Linked DNA regions of Caenorhabditis elegans. The protein of the gene in region 1 purifies or fractionates together with the protein of each later gene. This does not show direct contact. Each region holds a gene or a part of one and is shown in the gene's direction. Other genes may lie near its edges.

Evidence for each region. Proteins that work in one complex are often made in the same cells at the same time.
Region 2: the proteins of cmd-1 (region 1) and tag-196 purify together in Caenorhabditis elegans (affinity purification with western blotting; one study listed by BioGRID). This does not show direct contact.

The regions. Positions count from the first base shown.
Region 1 is NC_003283.11:1,154,169-1,157,923, forward strand, and holds the start of cmd-1 (Calmodulin), read left to right. Parts: upstream 1-2,102; 5' UTR 2,103-2,139; coding exon 2,140-2,173; intron 2,174-2,454; coding exon 2,455-2,693; intron 2,694-2,790; coding exon 2,791-2,938; intron 2,939-2,995; coding exon 2,996-3,024; 3' UTR 3,025-3,755. UniProt on the Caenorhabditis elegans protein: Calmodulin mediates the control of a large number of enzymes, ion channels and other proteins by Ca(2+). Among the enzymes to be stimulated by the calmodulin-Ca(2+) complex are a number of protein kinases and phosphatases.
Region 2 is NC_003283.11:8,593,098-8,596,852, forward strand, and holds the start of tag-196 (Cathepsin F), read left to right. Parts: upstream 1-1,816; 5' UTR 1,817-1,821; coding exon 1,822-1,923; intron 1,924-2,010; coding exon 2,011-2,214; intron 2,215-2,645; coding exon 2,646-2,758; intron 2,759-2,938; coding exon 2,939-3,058; intron 3,059-3,104; coding exon 3,105-3,572; intron 3,573-3,755.

The DNA.
Region 1 (3,755 bases):
GGCGGGAGAAATAGAGAAATTGAGCATCATCGAGAGAGAGAGGGAGTGCGACGAATGAAATTGCACACACACACGCGCACACTCTGCTTAAACGGGCATCATTTCATGTGCCTGGGCAATAGAAACAACCGATGTTTCATTTTTCCTGAAAAATGCTTCTTCGTTGTTTTTACCGACTTTCTGAGCCGCTTCGTTAGAAAACCTCGAAACCCCCCGAGATTTCCGCCAAATATTTGTCCAGCGTTCGTATAGATATTTGAGGAGGCTCGAGAGATCCAACAAATTGAGAAACGAAGGTGTAACGAGAAAAAAAACAGAGTCTGTTTGCTAAATCATGTGATTCATTGATTTTTCAACTCGTCAAATAGGTTTTCGCAACTATTTTTCCATATTCTCGTGATTTATCATTCTGTAAAAACATTTCTTAGGTCTCTTTTGATTGTTTATTCCCTTTTCCTGGTTTCCCATTATAGGTTAAAACCTGAAAACCCTTGCGCCGGGTCGGATTATGCTTTAGTTTTCACCGCCGCTCCGTTTCGCGCGCGCGCTTATATAATCCCCTTGTACAGCAGCCCTTTTTCGTATTAATGTTCCATATCGAAAATGCGCTCCGCTGAGAATTGGTCGGCTTTTTTTGTTGTTGACGCGGTGTCTGCTGATGTTCTTTCGGACGTATGATGAGATGAAGGAAGAACTAGTTTTTGTGTTCAGACTTCTTCATTGACGAACACGTCTCCGTTCTTTTCTTGTTGCGGTGGTGGTGGTGGTCGTCGCAGATGAATAAGACGTTGGCCGTTTTCGCTACACCCCCCCCCCCCCCCCTCCCCATCCCCCAATTTCAACTTCTCGTTTTGCGTGCAAAACAAGAGGAAATTGAAGTATTGTGGGGATAATTCGATAACCAGAACACGCACACACACTGACCCCTATCTTCTCTCTTTTTTGTTGTTTCATTTCTTTTCCTTCCGCAAGACGTCTCGGCCATCAGAGTTTTCCGATTATTATGTGTAATGGAATATCCGCAGGGGATCTTTGATCTACCCACTGGAAATTTGTTTTTTTTTGGTGGATTTTTGACAGAAATCACGCGCTCTCCTCAAAGCCGAATAATTTTCTACGTTTCGCATTTCTGCATCCGCGGTGTTTTGCCTTTCCACACGTTGTGTCAGAGTGTCTCATTCCGGCTTGATCTACAAAGATCTACAAAAAATGCGGGAGAAGAGACAACAGAGTTCTCAACTGATTTTGCATTGTTAAGAACGTGCTGACATCACATTTATTGGGCAAAATTCCCGCATTTTTTGTAGATCAAACCGTAATGGGACAGCCCAGCCTGGCACCACGTGTTTCCACTGAAAGTAGATGTTTTTTTTTCAGCATTTCACGGACAAACCTATTGCTAGACAGTGAACATCGAAATTAAAATGACTAAAATGAACTTTTTTCGTCTACTGGTTGTGAAAAGGTTTGAAATTGAAAAAATCAACGAGATTTTTCTTATTTTCTAAATATTTTCCTATTAAAAATTGATTTTAATCCATTTGTGACCTTACTTTAGAGTCAAAAGTGGTTTAAAACCGATTTTCGATAGAAAAATAGATTCAGAAAATAACAAAAAAAAATATCCCGCTGATTTTTTCAACTTTTTCTCAACCAGTGGACGAAAAAAGTTGATTTTCGTCATTTTGGTTTGTTCCTAAGATTCAATAAATCTGATTTTTTCAGTGGACAGGCAAAAACATCGCGGATGCAGAAACGCAAAGCGCGTAGCAAGCGCGCTCTAATAATAATTCGGCTTTGAGGAGAGTGAAATCGCTAAATATTTCCAATTCGACAAAATCAACCTTTGATTTCGTCTCCTTCTCTCTTCATTTCGAAATATAAAATTTGTACCTATCGTTGGCTTATCAGTCAGTAAATTCTCTCTAGTTCTTCTCTATTTTCTCTCTTTTCTCTCTTTTTTCGATTATTCTCTCCGATTTTTTCTCTCTCGTCACCGTTTCACCCACCGGTATTCATCATTGTTTACGTCGTTCCGCTCGCTTTCAAACAATTTATATTGATTTTAATTAATTAATTAATTATCCTTTTTCATTTTTCAGGGTTTTCTAACAACACCCCCTGCACAGCGAAAGCAAGATGGCCGATCAACTGACCGAGGAGCAAATTGCCGGTACTTTTTTAAATTCTGATTGATGGACGGAGGACCGGGAGATTGAAGAAATCTAATCCTCTCTCATTTCGAAGCGAATTGAGCAGAAACCAAGCGGCGCGGCGTAGAAATTTAAATTTAATGGATGAAACATTAGCCGTAGCAGCAGATGTATAGCGCCACTATTTTTGTGTGTTTTATTCCAGATGTTGGCTGGTTCTCGCGGCGAAAAATCTATCAACAATTGTATAAAAAACTACAAAATTCGAGAAAAAACCAAATCAATTTTGCCAAATTTTCAGAGTTCAAGGAGGCATTCAGTTTGTTCGACAAGGACGGCGATGGCACAATCACCACCAAGGAATTGGGAACTGTTATGCGGTCTTTGGGACAAAATCCGACTGAAGCCGAGCTTCAGGACATGATCAACGAAGTGGACGCTGACGGAAACGGAACCATCGATTTCCCAGAGTTCTTGACGATGATGGCCCGCAAGATGAAGGACACGGACAGTGAGGAGGAGATTCGTGAGGCGTTCCGAGTAAGAGATTTGTGGAAATTTATAAATTCATTTTTGATTCACTATAGAGAAGCCTCATGTAGTATAGAAAATCTCATTCAAATCTTCCTATTTGCAGGTTTTCGACAAGGACGGAAATGGCTTCATCTCGGCCGCTGAACTGCGCCACGTCATGACCAACTTGGGAGAGAAGCTAACGGACGAAGAGGTCGACGAGATGATCCGTGAAGCCGATATCGACGGAGATGGACAAGTCAATTATGAGGGTGAGTCCTTACAAGACCTTTTTTTTTCGAAATTTCATCAAATTTCCCATATTTCAGAGTTCGTCACCATGATGACAACCAAGTAAATCACACCAATCGGGATCTGAAGCCGCCGTATCGTTTGCGAATCACCAACACCTTTTCTCTCACCTTTCGTTTTTTTATTCTTCCCCGCTTGAAAATTGTGATTTCGCTCTCGAGCCCCAAAAAAAAATTGCCAAGCCCAGTCAAAAAATGCTATAAATGATGTAATTTATGTTCAAATTTAAGTTTTTTTGCCTCTTTTTTGACAGACGTGCTCTCAACCTAATTTTGTTTTTTTCTTAGAATGTGAAACTCATTTATAAGTCATTTTTTTCTTATTTCCTCTTTACAATGATTGAGTTTCTTCTTCTCCTGCCCCTGCCCCCAAATTAAAAAGTCCCGGATCCTCCAGTTCTTGGTCGCCTGCCCCGGCTTGACCCTTCCTCAAAATAATGCCTCCAACCTGTAAAACCCCATAAAAAAATTTAAAAAACTTAAAAAAAACCGCTGGCTTCTTCTTTTCCCACTTGGTATTTTTCTCATATTTTCTCTTCTTCCAAATTGTTCTTCCCAAAAAATGTATTCCAAACTCGAAAATCTTTCTTTCCTCTCTCTTTCCCCCTCAACCATTTATAGAAAGTGTAGAAAATTCCCTCTTTTCGCACCACACACACACCGTCACACGGGCCATTTTAAAATTGTACCTGAAATATTTTCTGTTGCTTTGAATTTCGATTTCGACAAGCAACGGCAAAAAATTTTGGCGCCTAGTGAACACTTTTTGCACCATTGC
Region 2 (3,755 bases), 7.4 Mb from region 1:
GATACAAATTCAATAATTCAGTTTCTATTCTTCTCACACATCTATCTATACATCTAGCCAGCAAATGCCAGAGAAATTCTTCCTTATTTTTTGGTTGCTGGAAGAAAGTTGTTGGGAGCATAAAGAAATAAAATGAGTGTTTACGTTCGATTCACCTCTCTTTTTCTTGTTGTTTTTCCATTTCTCCTTCATTTTCACGACAAATCACCCTCAATCTCATTTTCTATCATATCACATGAGAATATGAAATACTTGGTGTCCGAAAACTGGAAAATGTAGTTAACACATAGCGCCTCGGAGCTACAAATCATGAGGAATTTGTTGTGTGGTGTTTAATTTAAAACATTGATTTTTTGTTTTCTTTATATTCTTGTTTTTCTTTATGTCGATATTTTCAACATATTTTCTGATCGTTGGCGTATGATTCATCTGAAATTAATTTTTTTAAATTTTTTCCAATAAAAAGTTATCGAAATTTCTCGACCTTCTGAAATTCACAATTATAAGCGTAACAATTATTCACATTAGTCAGAAAATACTACAACTCTTTGTGATCTATTCAGAGTTTTTTCATTCTGTTTTTTCTGATAAAATTTTAATTTTATTCCATATTTTGTAAAATTTTGAATGGACTTCAGATATTTTAGAGAAACTAGGATGCAAACTAAAATTGAATTCAAAATCAAAACGTTCACGACAAGCGATTTTTGTTGCAAAAGTACGATACAGAATAATTTTCTTATTTTCACATTATGAAACCATTTCTGATCAATATAATCGTATGAATAAAAGTGAGTTTCTAAATTTTGGAAACAAATATTTAAACCCCATAAAAATCGTCTGCAAACCCATCAATGTCCTCTATTATCTTGAAATAGATAAAACATTCTTATATAAAAAGGATGTGAGAACGTGGGCTAGGAAATGGAGCGCTGGAATGTAGTTTCTTGAACGAATTTCCATCTGTAGGTCAAATGCCTAAAATGCTTTTTAAACTCTCACCGGTGAGGTTCATATAAATGCACAAATTCCTAGATTCAAAGTTGGCAAAACTATATATTCCACTCTACAATATTGTAGTTAGAAAATTGTCTTCCATTCTCATTCTCACTTTCTTCCCGACTTTCTCGATACTTCGGTTTAGTGCACTTTCCTAATAGAATTAGAGTGTCCGCGTACTTCTCCTTCCCCGCTCGAATCGAAATTTCAAACCACTACAACTAGAGCCAACAACAAATTGATGTGTCTCCCACCCTACTCAGAAATTCAATTGAGCCGCCCGGTCGCCGCCCTTTTGCACGTCGTCTTGTGCCCTTCTCGTCTTCCAAAAAACTCCTTCAGAAAAGGTGTAACCCTACCCTCCCGATGGCCTGCGTCTCTTTTCCCTTTTGACTCATCATGTTTTTGCCGGTTTTTTCTTGTGCCTGTTAACTGCTGCTGCGTCTCTATTTATCTCTTTTATTCTTAATGCCGGGTCATACGGTCACTCGCAACCCCTTGGGAGACACCACAACTGGGCAGCTGTTCGGTGGTACCATATGACCCACAACTGGCCTCATTCCCATCATCAACCCCCAACCACATCTATCTTTTATCAAATGACACCTTAGAACACCAGCTCTTGGATCTTCTTGATTTTTTAATTATCAAAAAAACATAAAATTCGTGTTAAAATTGCTCAGGTGGCTCAAAATCTTGGTTTGAAGCATTTACTATTTTTTTTTATTATTGTATCAATCTCACTGTATCTTGTCAACTTCTTCCTACTAAACTTCTTTCTGATTTTCTCTGTCTTATCACATGATCTTATTTTCAGCCAAAATGGGTAAACCTATAGTTTGCCTAATTTTGTTACTTGCATCTCTCCACACAGTTGTCTCAAAAGTGTTGCCGATAAATGAAGAAGACCAACTTCTGTACGAGGTAATCTATTTCAATCATTTTATATTCCTTATCAAACCAGTTGTCATCCTATCCATCCATCACCTTGTCAAATTATTTTTGTTGTAGAAATTCGCGCGACATGGTGTTGAAAAATTCAATCAGCAATCGAATGATGCCTACAAATGGGAACTCGATAGAACATGGGAGGTTGAAAGAAAACTGTCCGGTGGAATACATTATTCAATTTTTGTCACATTGGTCAAAACCGATTGTAAGAAGGGTCAGACGGACGTTGAGGGGAAGAAGTGTCGGAAGACGGATACACTCAAGGTGAGAAAACAAAAACCAAAAATAGTTGATCAAAAAATGAATAGGAAGAGGAAATATAATTTTAGAATTCTTTGAATACATTCAAGATTTTTTTGACTGGACACTCGATGGGGCTCCATCACACCTAACCCGGGTGGAATGTTTACTTGAAAAAAGTATTATGCGTTTATAAAGTTTACAAATCTTTTCTGAAACTAGTCACATTTTGTGCTAAGTGGACCCCAACGACCTATTCTAAAAGTCTTGTATAGTTTCCGATTATCCCGTGTAAAAAACAGAACAATCAGATTTATAGTTTTTAACAAATCTAAAAAGTTTCAAAATTAAATGAAATACGAATTGAAACAGTTTAAAGTAAAATAATTGTCTTACAAGACAAAATATTATTTTTATGATTTTATTGATTTTAATGATTTATGTCTTAATTGCAGAAGTGTCAAGTTGAAATCAGTCGCCGTGTAAAAAGACATGGTTATGGTCTGAAAGACATCGTGCACATCAGAAATTGTGAGGAAGAGTTTACAAGGAACATTGATAAGTTCGAGTAAGTAAAGACGATAAAAATTTTTCCGATAAAAATAATCACACTATAACAAAAAATGTTTCATAATACTTGTGGTCTTTGGGATATTTTTTATTTTTATATTTTTACTGACAAGATTAACTAGTAAGTGAAACTTGTTATGTCTTATGTTTTAACATAGAAATTTGTTAATATTTTCAGTCACCGCAAAATCCAACTGACTCACGACGACTCCATCACTGTTCAGGAACTCCGAAAGGCAAAGATCATCCGTCCAAGAGACTATGTCATTTGGAATTCTTTTCTTGATTTTGTTGATAGGTATTGTTTGTTTCGTTATTTTCTCAATTTACCTAATTATTTCCAGACACGAGAAGAAGTACACTAACAAAAGAGAAGTTCTAAAAAGATTCCGAGTTTTCAAGAAAAACGCAAAAGTTATCAGAGAACTTCAGAAAAATGAGCAAGGAACCGCTGTCTATGGATTCACAAAGTTTTCTGACATGACAACAATGGAATTCAAGAAAATAATGCTTCCATATCAATGGGAACAACCAGTATATCCAATGGAACAAGCCAATTTCGAGAAACATGATGTCACAATTAATGAAGAAGATCTTCCAGAATCATTTGATTGGAGAGAAAAAGGAGCAGTTACTCAAGTAAAGAATCAAGGAAACTGTGGAAGTTGTTGGGCATTCTCAACGACAGGAAATGTGGAAGGAGCATGGTTCATTGCCAAGAACAAGCTTGTATCACTTTCAGAACAAGAACTTGTGGATTGTGATAGTATGGATCAGGGATGTAATGGAGGATTGCCAAGTAATGCATACAAGTATGTTTCAATTTCTCCGTTTTCTTTTGGGAAAAACTGAATACTGAAATAATTAATGCGACATGTGTCTCATATTTTCAGAATTGGAAAGTTTGTCGTATCAGATAATTACTGTTTTTTAGTTTTTTATCATAAAACCACAAAGTACTTCTAGTTTAAAAAGTTAATTCTGATTGTTCCTGA